Linked DNA regions of Arabidopsis thaliana. The protein of the gene in region 1 purifies or fractionates together with the protein of each later gene. This does not show direct contact. Each region holds a gene or a part of one and is shown on either strand. Other genes may lie near its edges.

What was found.
Region 2: the proteins of JAZ10 (region 1) and AT4G14720 purify together in Arabidopsis thaliana (affinity purification with mass spectrometry; 2 studies listed by BioGRID). This does not show direct contact.

Annotation. Positions count from the first base shown.
Region 1 is NC_003076.8:4,216,139-4,222,503, reverse strand, and holds JAZ10 (jasmonate-zim-domain protein 10), read right to left. Parts: upstream 3,677-6,365; 5' UTR 3,504-3,676; coding exon 3,392-3,503; intron 3,315-3,391; coding exon 2,820-3,314; coding exon of another isoform or gene 2,815-2,819; exon of another isoform or gene 2,570-2,814; coding exon 2,508-2,569; coding exon of another isoform or gene 2,465-2,507; 3' UTR 2,042-2,464; coding exon of another isoform or gene 2,002-2,041; 3' UTR 1,591-2,001; downstream 1-1,590. Other genes in the region: AT5G13210 (Uncharacterized conserved protein UCP015417, vWA), read right to left, coding at 5,916-6,365. UniProt on the Arabidopsis thaliana protein: Repressor of jasmonate (JA) responses. Interacts with and suppresses RHD6 and RSL1 transcription factor activities to negatively regulate jasmonate-stimulated root hair development.
Region 2 is NC_003075.7:8,430,255-8,437,618, forward strand, and holds AT4G14720 (TIFY domain/Divergent CCT motif family protein), read right to left. Parts: upstream 4,852-7,364; 5' UTR 4,681-4,851; coding exon 4,563-4,680; intron 4,381-4,562; coding exon 4,241-4,380; intron 4,106-4,240; coding exon 3,927-4,105; intron 3,442-3,926; coding exon 3,351-3,441; intron 3,263-3,350; coding exon 3,166-3,262; intron 2,857-3,165; coding exon 2,797-2,856; intron 2,601-2,796; coding exon 2,537-2,600; intron 2,464-2,536; coding exon 2,229-2,463; 3' UTR 2,206-2,228; coding exon of another isoform or gene 2,198-2,205; 3' UTR 1,719-2,197; downstream 1-1,718. Other genes in the region: ARD1 (acireductone dioxygenase 1), read right to left, coding at 230-272, 386-456, 536-660, 744-858, 992-1,086, 1,167-1,278, 1,596-1,613. UniProt on the Arabidopsis thaliana protein: Regulates the arrest of dispersed meristematic cells during lamina development.

The DNA.
Region 1 (6,365 bases):
AGCAGAGTGGAGACAAGTAGTGGAGTAGTGTCCAATCCGGTTTATTCAAAACCGGTTTTTCCCAACTGAGATCGAATGATTCTGGATAAACCAAATTTAAAGAGATATGGGCCGGCCCAATAATGTGTAATAGTGTGACCCATGTGGCCCAGATTCGATAACCAAATTCAAAACTAGGGTTTCTCTGAGTCTAAAGGCTTCACCCTATAAAAGAGGGCTGTAGCTGTGATGACCCAACAGACTCAGATTCGTTTCGTTAGCTCTCCTTCTCAATACTCTTCGTTATTTGTTATTCCATGTTTAAGATCTGAATTTCTAAGCTAGGATTGCTAGAATTTGTTTTGAAGTTGGTGTTTAGTTTTCCTCTTGTTTTTCTGAATCTTAATTTCAACTGAAAAAATTGATTGAACGAATCGGAGCAGATGATGAATATTTTGCACTACAACGGTGCTTTCCTATAACTCATGCGGATTATATAAATCGAGCTTTTTAAAACTGATGTCCCGATTCGTCAATCTCTTTTCTAACTTCTGTTTTGTTTGCTCAAAACTGATAATGGTGAATTTTAAATTATGCAATTTCCTTTTTTTTTGGGTTATGAAATCTCTCAGTTCCGCAGATTGTATTGCCATCTAGCAAGTAATTTTTTTTATAATCAAATTTACAAGGATTTTCCTCAAATTAAGTATTCCTGTTTCTTAAGTTTGTTTCCAAACTGATGTGAATCAGTTAGTACAGGTTTTGTTTTTGGACATTCATTTTCTCGATCTGTTGATTGATATAGGATGTTTCATTCTATTGGAATGATTTGGCCGAATGCTATGTAAATAGCTGGTTGATATATTAGATTTTTTCCAGACGAACAGGATAAACTGTTGGTGTTGGACCAAATCGAATCAAATAATTAATTTGAATTACTCGTGATGAATCAAAGATATTAGGATTGGCTTATGCAGTCAACTTGACCAAAGCCAAACACTTGACTAATCTGAATCTGAATCTAAACCAAACATCTGAATCAGAGCTACTAATTAAAACTTGATATACGGTATTCCATCTTCAAAGCTTAAACAACATGATGTAAGTTTAGTACTCTCATTAGCCATTGCAATGTGCAAACTAAGTTTATGTCATCGCAGTAGATTAAATGAGAAGCAATTTACTTGACACAACTTAAAGAGACACGAAAACATTTTTAAGAAACTACATGTAATAAAAAAACTCTCACGTATGCACATGGTGGTATTTATTTCATATCAATAAGCTACAGTATCTTGGTTTCAATGATAAAGAAGACGCAGTGAATGGTTGTGTGGTTTTTGTTTCTTAAATCCGGACCAGCCATCCCTTTTTTGTTAGTACTAGTGATGGATACTATTCAATGAAAGGGGTAATTGTCTAAAAGAAGCCACACAAAGTACGTTCACTTTACCACTTCTTTTCATCTTCATTCCAATGTACAAATTCCACCAAACTCATGTTAAAAGACTTTTGACATAAAGACACAATTAGTCGGGTAGACTTGATAGTATTATATAACTAATACTCACGTGTTTCTTAAACTGTTTTCCATTATAACAATTAGGACAACCCAAGCTAGAGACCAACCAATATAATCAAAGATGAATGGCCACATTTCCTTTAATAATACTCTGATACGGAAGCTTCATGAGAAGCTAAAAGAGGCGTGTTATAATTTTCTTTACCATATACTAAAAAATAAAACAAAAGTAGAAGGTCACGGGATAAGAGAGAGCTTCTTAAATCAAGCTATCAATGACAATAAAGATAATAGACATTTTTAAAAACAAACCAATATATATAATCTTAGTAGGTAACGTAATCTCCTAAAAACGTTTGTCGTGAATAGTATACGATTTAGCAACGACGAAGAAGGCTTCAAAAGAAGATTGGAAATAAGCCAAATCCAAAAACGAACATGGATGTCTTCCGATTGAAAAAGACAAATTTGGTCCATGTCCCAATCTAAAAAGAGATCGTTTAGGCCGATGTCGGATAGTAAGGAGATGTTGATACTAATCTGCAAACACAACAAGACGAAAAAGAAAATGTGAAACCGCGTTTTGTGATAACTTATATAATATACAGATCTTTCTTTGGCCGTATGGTCTGATAAAAGTAAAAGTTCAAATTTTTTTCCGGTGTTTCTCCTCGTTTTCTCATCATTTTGAAAAATATAACTTGTCGGTGTAGCAAACAGAACTAGAGTCAAAGACTCAAAGTCAACGCGCTTTTTAAAAGTTCCATTACAATAGTAACCTACGTATACCGATATTACTACTGATCTCCATTATCTATCTACGTATAAGCATGTGCGTTGTTGAACAAAACTAGTTGAATCTTAAGTTGTATGTGAGAGTAAAAGAGGCAGGACCCATAATTACTATCTTAAATAACTTATAGTAAAAAAAAGGTCGAGAGAGAGAAAAATAAAAACCTTTCTTTAATTATTTGGGGGTAAAAATCCTTGGATTGTTGAAGAATCATTACCTCTCCTTGCGCTTCTCGAGAAAACGTTGCAGTGACTTTCTCCTTGCGATGGGAAGATCTGCATACACACGCATAAACCAGTTTCTTATCAGAAATTAAACAACATGTTTATACTTTTATTAATAACGTATATTAATACGTATAGACATAAACTATAGTCTTTAACTCTTTGATATCTAATTCCAAACTAATTAGCAACCAATTCCTCTCTAACAACAAACTCTTCTTAGATCTCTACATGCAATAATATGTAACTAAAATTCTAGAAGAATCCAGCACTAAGTGATTTTTATTTTTATTATACTAACCTCCTTCTAGATTCTGGCCAAAGAGCTTTGGTCTTAGAGTGGTCGGAAGAATTACCGAAAGATCTGTCTCCATCGACGACTCGTCTTTCTTAGATGCTGCTTCATTAGCGACCTTCATAATTTCACCAGCTTTGTTACGAGACACTTGGAAAACTGAAACACTTCCATTGTAGAAAATCGTCATAGGAACAGTTCCCGAAACGAGTTCGGTACTAGACCTGAGGAAAATGAATGTTTTGAAAATTTGAATTTCAAATTTTTTCGTCTTTTCTGGTAGCGCCAAAAAAGTTAGAAAGAAAAAAAAAACTTTACCGGAAAGACAAAAATACCTGGCGAGAGACGCGTGGACCGGAGAAATCGGGATCTGAGGCTGATCTTCCCTCGGAGTAGACGGAACCGAACGAGATTTAGCCGATGAATCGGAATTGTTTCCAGTGGAAGCTAACAGCGATTTGATAATCTCCGGATCGATTTTCGAAATCGCACCTTGAATATCTGCAGGAGTTCCATATGAATAAATTCGATTTATCGCAAGAAAAAAAAAAGAGAGAGCGACTAAAAACCAAACGAACCTCGGAAACTACGACGGCGATCGAGAAATTTCTGGAACTTAGGCTTAGGAGCGTTGTTGGTTTGTTTCTTCTCAAGTCCGAGGAAATCGAGTTCTATGGTAGCTTTCGACATCTTCTTTGATCTTATTAGAAAGTGAGAGAGAGATCAAGACAGAGAGATATGGGTTTTGAGATGAATAAATGGAGGAATAATAACGGATTCTGATTTCTCATGTGAGAGTTTTTAAAATGTAGTATGTCTCTGATACTTATTTAACGCACGAGGTTCATGCTTTCTCTTTCTTTTCGGCACAATTGGCAACCTATCCACTTTTTCCTTTTTGTTTTGTTTTTATTAGGCTCCCAACCTCTTCTCTTACTTATCTAATTAATTTAATGATTCAAAACACATGTTTAAATTCTTAATATACCTAATGTAATGTAATTGCTTGCTACGCAGAAAGAAGATATTTTATATCCGGAAATAACGGAAGTCCAATGAACATTGTAATGTTTTATAAAAATATATCTTCAAAAATTTGGTAACATGTTTCTGTTACTGTTCGTCACATTGGGTTCTTCTGACATTATATTTGTTTTCTACTCTAGTCTCTGATCTGTATATTTTTCTCGAAACATGTTTTTCTTTTCCATTTTTTCTTAATATGAATTTTAATCTTGCTACTACTAGCTCTACTAGTATAGCAAATCACATTTAGTAGATATCAGTCTTATTGATTTTTCAATATAAACAAAATTTGACATTACTATTCAAGAATAATATTTGGTTGACCTAATAATACAACTGAAATTTCTTACATTTCTAAACTAAAGTACACCAATAAACTTTCATCATATTTGGGAAAGTAACCAATAAAACATACAAATAGGGATTTTAGAACAATAAAATGTTGGTGGTGATTCACAGTTAGTGTTTTGAAAGAAGAAGAAAAAATAAGATTTTCAAATCCATTCAAAAAAAGATTTAAAGAAAACACCACTGCAGATGCATAAAGACTAGGTCAAGTCGGAACTTGGAAGTTTGTTTTCTGCCAAACCAGAAAAGACGGGTCGATCCTTTGGACGATGTCGATGGTTTTTCTTTTCTTTTCTTAGTTTCACATTTTGGCTGGTGTTTTTTTTTCACATGTGGCCGCTCTTTTTCTTGTTCTCTTGTTTAAAGCATATGTGGCTGCTCGTTTCCTAACAGATTTACATATTATTACATTGTTCTCAAGTAAAGTTATAGAGGGATTCAATGAACTCACGTTTTTCTTTCTTGTGAAAATATACCTTGAACCACTTCCGAATTAAATTGACCTCAATTTTCTATCTTGTGCTCAAATTTAAACTTCACCTTATTCTATCGCGCGCATGTTAGCTTAATTAGTTACATTTCTCCTTTTTACTATTTTAAATTAAAAATCATATAACTACAAAATGTAGTGATTACGAAAAGTAATTTTTTTAATTAATATTCTGAACTAATCAAATATTAAAAAAGAATTACGTATAAAAAACTTTTTTAGTAGTATATATTTGATGCCGAAAGTGAAAGTTTTTTTTTTTTTTTTTTCTTGGCAACCGAAAGTGAAAGAGTTAGATGCATGTCTTTCACGTGTTGGGAGCTGTAGTAGTAGTAGTTAATGTCAATACATATCATTATTCACTAGGCTAAGGTGCACTTCTCGATAAGTCTTTAGAGGTTTTCGTCGCTCTCTTTCATCTTCTCACGTTCCAGAGTCAATACGCCTTATTTATTCTTTTTCTTCCGATTATTTTTATTTGTGTTATCACACGTTTTGTCAGTGCTGCCGATTTTTAATGTCGATGTATTTTTCAAGCTGACTAATTTGCCCCTCTGTCCACCTTTCATATACGACCTTACCCTTCTTTTGGCCTTTAATCTCAGAAACACATATTTAACATTTTCAAATTTTTTGAATCGAATCTTGAAACGAAATATGAGAACACTAATGTATAGTGGATTTATTATATTGGATTTAACATGTATAGTGGATTCATCATTACTGTATTATCTATATTTTTTTTCTTGCATAAAACTAAATGGCCGAAACTTTAAGTCGTTTACAGCCCACACTAGTTAGTACCCTTACATAAGAATATAATTGAACCTATAGTTGAAAAGCCCCTTAAGGTAGTAAACCCATTTAGAGAAGAAAAGCCCATTTGAAGAAGTAAATCTGTAAATGAAACGGTTGTTCTTGTTGTCGTTCATTTCCAATACCATCCATAGTTTGCGTAAGGTTTGCTCGCCAAAGTCGTCGGATTCTGAATTCTAAACGCCGAGATCCGATGATACGAGTGATTGTTTCCGGCGAACTATGAGTGTTTTGAAGCAGGTTACGTGTAGAGAGAGCATCGATTGATGAATAAAAGCCAGGTTAGTGGTCTCGTATCGATTACTTGGTTCAGAAAAAAAAAGTAAAATCAATGGGCCAAATTTATTAAAATAAAATTGCAATGGAAGCTTCAACCATGAAACAGGAATACAAAACCAAACTCAAAAAAACAGTAAAGCTTCTTAATCAACAACAACAAGCGACTTATACTCATCTTTAGAAATAGCAGTCTCCATCATCATCACAGGATCAATCTCTCCATCATGTTCCAAAAACATTTTCATCAAATTCTTCGAAAAGCCACTCACCAAAGCCACTCCTTTCTTGTTTCCCGGCACCGGCGTTGCTCTCGAATCCCTCAAGTTCCAAAACACTATCTCCGGCACAACGTCTCCATACCCATTCTGTTTATACTTCCTCACAATCACTTCATAATCCGTTTCCCATCCATTACTTGGATTACTTGGAGGCTGCCTTAAAAATGCATAGCCTGGTCTTGAATAATGTGACGACGACGCCGCTTGATCAAACTCCATATCACTGAACACAAACACCCTCTTGATCATCTCTTCCGGCTTCAGCTTCTCTTGTACGGCCACTCCAAGAATCAAATCAAACACTTTCTGAAAATC
Region 2 (7,364 bases), on another chromosome or scaffold:
AATATGAATCCCAATGTAATCTTTTCGTATATGGGATACGACAAAGATGGTAAAGAGAGACATATCAGAGAGTGTAACTAAGTTTACAACAACTCAAGCATACCAAAAGCCATCATTCTACACAGGAATACATATAAATATCCAATACTTGACAGGAAAGCTTTCTTTATTGTAGGCCTTGTTTATAGATCCTTGTTTCAGAAAGCCAGATATAGAGAGAGGAAGCTCTCTAAGCCGAGGCATTGATCATGAAGTTATCGACATATTCTTTCCTGTAAAATATCAGAATTTATTTCTCGTAAAATAACAGAATTTCTTGCTTGATTATATATCCCATTGTTTGCATAAGAGAACAAACAAAAGGGGAAAACCCAGGACATTGTACCTTGCAGGAAGATGGTCGTGTGGGCGATTGTATGGTGTCCATACCGGTTCACCCACGAATAGCCGCATTGCCTGTTCAACAAGATATTTCAATTTTCTAAGCAAGCCCAAACTATAAAATAAATGGCTAGAAGAAAAGCTGACATTGCACCTTGATATAGTTGTCAGAGTCCACAGTGAAGCGATGATAGATCCCAGCAGGTAAGACTATCATACCTCCCTTCTTTACCAATACCCTAATCCAAGCTTCATTACGATCTCTCACATCAAAGTAACCTTTTTCCCAAGAAAATAAAACATGACTACTATATCGAAATTTTAAGTTTACGAGTAAAGCCGCCAGTAAAAGAAGTTCTTACCAGTTCCTGCAACGCAGTAACGGATCTCCTCATCAGTGTGTAAATGTTCTTCGAAAAAGCTCTTCACTTTCACTTCATAGTTTGGAAGCTTTTCCGGGCATACCTCACAAAAGTCCTGCATTTTGAACACTTTTTAATCATCAAACCAAGATTGAGAAAACCCCTAGAGAGTTAAAATAAGACTTGGACAAAAATAAACATCTACCATTCAAGTCTAGTGGGATAGTAAATAAATAAAGACCACAAACCATGTAAGAGTAACCACGAGATTCACGGATCTTTTTCAAATCCTCATCGGTTTCATAGTTATCAGCATCAAGTCTCCAGCTAAGTACTCCCAGCTCTGCACACAAACATTACATGTGAAACAAAATAGAGAAGCAGAGAGAACAACATTGAATTGAAACACACAAAGAGGGGGACCTGCAAGTTTGTCCAACGATACAAACTCTTTAGGATCCTTGTGGTGAGGAAGTCTCTGATCCTCTTCACTATCATCCATATACCAAGCTTGAATCACTTCTTCTCTCCCATCCTAAGCAAAAGCACATCAAGATGGGATTAGATTCCTTGGGAGGCAATGTTCAGATATTTTATATTTAATCTGATTTTAGCTTCAAAACTTCAGACAATTCGAGAAATCGTCAATTGCATAACTAAATTGAATACGAATAGGCATTAAACTGACTGCGAGATTTGAGCAAAAGAAGTAGTTATGATGATTCGAAAATCGTCGAAAATGAATCAAATCACTCAGATAACAATCGACGATTCATGCTTGCATCGCAAAACTAGGAATTATCGATTGGCATTAACAGATCAGAAGCAGAGGAGACAAAGATAAAAACATACCTTGACCGCTTCACCCATCGTGTTCCTCGTGATGTCTTAGTCCTTCTTCGTCTTCAAAACCACCCGATTACTCGATTCTTCTTTTTAAAACAGGGAAAAGATCAAATAAATAAAAATCTTTGGTTAAAAAGACTAAACTACCCTTATTTCTCAACTTTATAGAAGAATGTTGCAAATCTCAGACATATCACATACATCATGCCATGAAAATAGACAAATTAATTATCTCATACATATCAATCACAAAGAAGTTGTGTTACTTGGACCTCAAAGATTGGTATCATCAATAAGGTCTCTCTCATTATAAGACAAGCATTTACATAATACAAACCGCCACATCCTCTCTCTCTCTCTCGCGTCTCTCTAACCTACTCAAAACTACAGACCAAAAAAGATGGACGCAACCCGTAAAAAAAACAAAACCATACAAGACCCGCACTGATCCAGCTCAAATCTTTAACCCATGTTTCTTCCACAATGAACGAGAACATTCATTGTTTGCTTTCTTTCTTTTTGTACATGGCTAACATGTTATAAGAACATGAAATTGTTCTTCCCGCCTTTTGACCCGTAGTACCATCTCCAGTTCTTTTGGCACCTTGTTAATTATCTATAAAAAAGCGAATGAGAGTTTTAAGGGAGATCATTGGAACCATTTGACAAATGCTTGTTCATACCTTCGCTGTTTAGATCACTGTTTAGATCAACTGAGATATTGGGACTTTTTGTTTGATTTTCAGGTGACTCGCAATGCCCTGTGCCACTAAGGTTTTGTGAATATGCAGCGTTCATCCGTGGCTGACGATTCAGAAACATCTCCAAGCTAGAGGACGCAACTCCTGGAGCCTTCTTGGTCTTAGAAAATCTTCTGCTCAGAAAGAAAGGTATCAGTATTCATCGATTTGGAATAAGCAAGCACACAGCATAATAGCAACAACTACCTGTCTTTCCGCTTTTCAAGATATCTTTGCAACGATACTTTTCTGTTCGCCTGACCCTCAACATCTTCAGAAAAGACCAACAAAAAGAACAATAGTTAAATTAACAGAATTTCATGGTCGTATATCATGCAGAACAAGCAAGTAGTTTAGCGTAGCATGTAGAGGTGAAGAGGTGGACCAAATTTCGCTCTCAGGTGTTTTAAAGCATCATTGAATAATAGGATTTCATATCTTTAAGGTAAAATGAGTACTGTTTGTACCAGAATCACGAGAAGCAGGTGCCTTTTCAAGTCCATATTGGGGAAGCTCCACCATCTTCTCTGAAAAAATCAAATCACAATTTCAAAAAAAGGGGCACGAGGCATCTGTAGACACATAAGCTAGTAGAGGTAGCAGCAATTACAGCATTTAGACATGCTTCTTTGGTAATTTAACAATGCCTCCTTTCAAAATTGGACAAAATGAAAGGCCGTGTTTGACATAAGAAAGAAAGAAAGACTCATCTTGAGATGCAGCAGCTCTAGTCATTTTTTCAAGTTAGATTATACATTAAAAAAAAAACTCATTTCAAGTCTGAATCATCAATCTTTCAACTGAAAAGCAGATCAGACACTTTAGCAAATGCTTACCTTTACTCATGGGTTTCGAAATCATTCTACTAGAAGCAAAAATACCATTTTCAGGCAAATCAATTGGATTGGCTGCAAAATGCATGATAGACCGGGCCTGCAAATCAATACACAAGATGAATGATCAAAACCATACCATCAAAATTTATATTTTCAGGCTGGACAGAATTATGTGATTCATTTACCTTTTCAGGTGGTACTCCATCATATACATTCACTTTGCCACTATAAAATATCGTCATTTGCCCAACCACCGCATTTGTTTCAGCTGGGCTTCTGATGCAACATTACAAAAAAGCGTGTTTAAACAACTTAATTAAATAACATTGGAGTAGTAATTTGTTTATAAAACAACATGCACCTAATATCAATAAGACTTTGTACATGAACTACCCCTAAAACTCTTGTTAGTAATTGCAGAATTCACAAATCATATAGACTAATGGACTAAGTAACTGATTTATCGTTCACTAGCAATAATCACATCACATCATACCAATCCTCAAAACAGAAGAGTAAAGAGTAACACAGAACCAAGAAGATCTATCTGACTCTTTTAACCTAAATTCTGTGTGACCAATCCACCATCAAAACCATGATTCATATAGAAACTTTTCAATGTCTAAGACACTGATATCAAACCAAGTACTTATTCTAAGATCACAAACAGAATGTCACAATGCATCAGTTCTCTTCTTGAGGCATGAAAGCAGAAGAAAGATACCACACAAAGTCAAAACGCTATAGAAGAAAATGTAAACCTGGGGGAAACAGAAACAGTCTTGTGGCTATCTTTATCCGCAACAAACTGACCAGAACTACCAGAAAACTCAGCTGATCTTGGAGAATCCCTTCTATGGCACGCACCATCATCTTCCTGTAAAGGAATCCTTCCACAAGCTTCGAGCTCGTTCCTTGGCTCAATCAACGTTGTTGTAACCTGTGAACAAAACAGCAGTACACACAGAACAACAATTTTCCCTAAATCAGCACCAACCAAGTAAACGATTCTCTACTACTTCAGAACTTAGATTTTTCTCTGTAAATCGAAACAAAATCGAAGAACAACACTCACGCGAGGCGGATTTGGCGGCTGAGAAACAAGGATCTTGCGGAGGATTCCGGCGCCGGAATCATCTCCAGGTTCATAGAGAGCTTTAAGAGATAAAACTTGCTGGATCGCCTGAGATTTATTCCACGAAGGCCTGCGCATTCCTGTTTCGACACGTGTCAGCCGCCATTCTCCAGAGAGCGAAAAAAAAAGCTCGGAGAGAAGAAGAATAGAGAATTTCAAAAAATTGACTATGTACGATTCTTCTCAGCAAAATCCGTGAGGAAGATCCTACCGTCGAAGACAATAAGACCGGAAAAAAATGGAGAAAGGAAGAAGAAGAAACCTTTCTCTTTGAGGAATTTGCGGCAATCTTCGCGAGTAAGCTGAGAAATGTCTTCTTCAGTGAGAAGCTTCAGAGGCTTCTCAAGTATAGACTTCGCCGTAGTAACTCCTACATCCATATCCCTTGTCAGATTCCGGCCAAAACGGCCTCACCGGAGTCCCGACGAGAGAGCAGTGGCGTTTTCGTAATAATTGGAGGGTTTTGAGGGCAAAATTAGAAGAGCGAGAGAGAGAGAGAGAGAGAAAGAAAGAGAAAGAGTGAAGTCGCTAATAGTCTATGGGCTTCAATTTTAGGGGAATGGTTTTTGGAGCAGCGAAGCTCCCTAGACTGCCACGTAAGCATCCTATTAGTCTCTCTAGATTATAGCCTAATCATGCATTGCTTAAGTATCCCAATTATTTTTTATTTTTTGGGTAAATCTTATGCTGATTATTTTTTTCGCGTCAAACAGTGAAATAAAATAGTAAATGGTAACAGTTTTATATTAAATTTAAATATAATAATAGCATGAGTGATAAAGAAAAATGACACGAAAGAAAACAGAGATTATTTTGTAATCAGAGAGTATCTTGTTTGTTTATTACTGAGTGGATGTCAATTTATCTAAAATCGCATACGATCAATTTGCATGTGATATTTTGATTAAACAACTAATTATTTCTATAAATGGATAAGAGTTATTCCAAAAATAGAACAAAATATCTTTTGTGTTTTGTTTGTATACTACTTTAGTCTAGATGGACAATCATCAATTCTTGGTTAGTGTTTTTTTCCTGGTTTTACAATTCTTGGTTAGTATCTCTAAAAAATGGAAGATCATGTCACTTATACGATTATTACTTGTTAGTTAGCAGAACCTCCAGCATTGCAACACTTCAACATGTCACGCAATTTTTGCAAAAAGATAATCATTCCAAACATTTTTGCAAACAGACAATTTTCAGTTTAAAACAACCAATCAAACCCTAAATGTAATCATGTTAAATGAGTTTTTTTTTTCTTAAAAAAACATCTCATAAACATGTTAACAAAAAATTTGTTAAGCTAATTTACTAGTTGATACTTTTAAAATGGATTTAGCATTTGTTTGGCAACAACATGTGTGCTATGAATTGGATAGCAAATTAGCAATACAACAAAAACACTAGCACAAACCATTTACTTTTTTGTTAAAGGATCTAGCACAAACCATTATACTAAAAAATCTCTTCGATATCCATATTCAGTAGATCATTTAGATGCATGTAAATGAAAATGGCTCAACACATAAAAACGAAGACTAGTCATTTTCTGAAGTGAATACCAAAACAATTGAAAAATACAAGAGATAGAGTAATAAATTGACAAGACGAAGGAGGAGAAATATATTTTCACATGAGTCTGACCAATATCGATTCTCCCTTAAACCTTGCTTGGTCTTGCGTGACATCCCTTCTCATTATCCAATATATAAAGTGATAATTGATAACAATGCATGATACATGTAATTATACTCGTGATGTACGATAAGGATTCATCACTCAATTCATCCAATGTCGTAATTGTCAAGATATACATGCATGAATAAACGAACAGTTGAAAACTTCTTTTTAAAATATAGTTTCGTCATCCATACATACGGTGATGTCCCGAAAAATGATTAGATAAGCAAACCATATTAATGCAACTTTTTCTTTTTAGATTACTATGAAATTTGGAATACTGATCCATAATTTTTTTGAACAAGAGAATGGAACGTGTAAACATTTTATTTTTTTTAACATCGAAAGTCGAACTTTGTGACTTTGAAGTTAATTCACTCTCGTTTGAAGGTTTTTATAACTTACCAACAATTGATATTGAAATATATAATATTAATCAATGGTCTTCAAAAATCAAAACTATCTACCTTATACTGTATATGCATATACCATTTTTTTTTTCTTTATTGTTATTGTTAACCAGAAATTTCTAATTTTTGGCTCATAGTTTTATGTCCATGGACTAGCATTTGATAATATATACTTATTGCGATTCCACAAACGTAAATCATCTCTCTCCATATATAGCACTTAAGACTCGACCTCATATTTGGTAGTACTGTTACAATACCCTCTAGCAAGTTGACAGCAATTTTCAATTTGCCAATAACTTGTAAATCGTAAAAACTTAACATAAAAATTGGGATATAGAATTGACTATTGAGAGTAGTGGAAGATATGAGATAAAGAAGAGGGAAACAAAAAAAAAACAGAGTGGAAATAGGAAGAGTCGTTATCGAAGAAATGGATCCAAGTTGGTACCATACCTTTAATCTAAAGGATGCATCCGCCATTTCTATCGACACCACTCACCAAACCCTACCCAAATTTATTTTTTTCTTAAAGGTTTTTAAATTATATATTGTTGACTTTATTATGATGTGCTTTAAAAAAAAACAATATTGTGATTTTGTAATTGACCATGAATATGAGAGGTTTTGGAATATAACATATAGGTGAACTACTAGCCAATTGTTAGTCGGATTACTGGTTTAATAAGATGATCAGAACAACTAAACTTGTAAACTTCCATCGATTACAACAATCTTGTGAGGCTAACTTGAAGTAGTTCACCATTTTGGTTGGTGAACACTATATATGTCAATTTATGTTCTCTAATATATATTTTCTTGTTTGGTTTTCTCAATATGTGTTGTCGAGTCGAAAGTGATTAATTGATCGAGCTCAAGATCTTGCTATTAAGGCGAAGTAAAGATTGCAATTCATATTGCTGTATCCTAACAAATGTGATGGTCTCTTATCGTTCTAACATCTCTCTTTC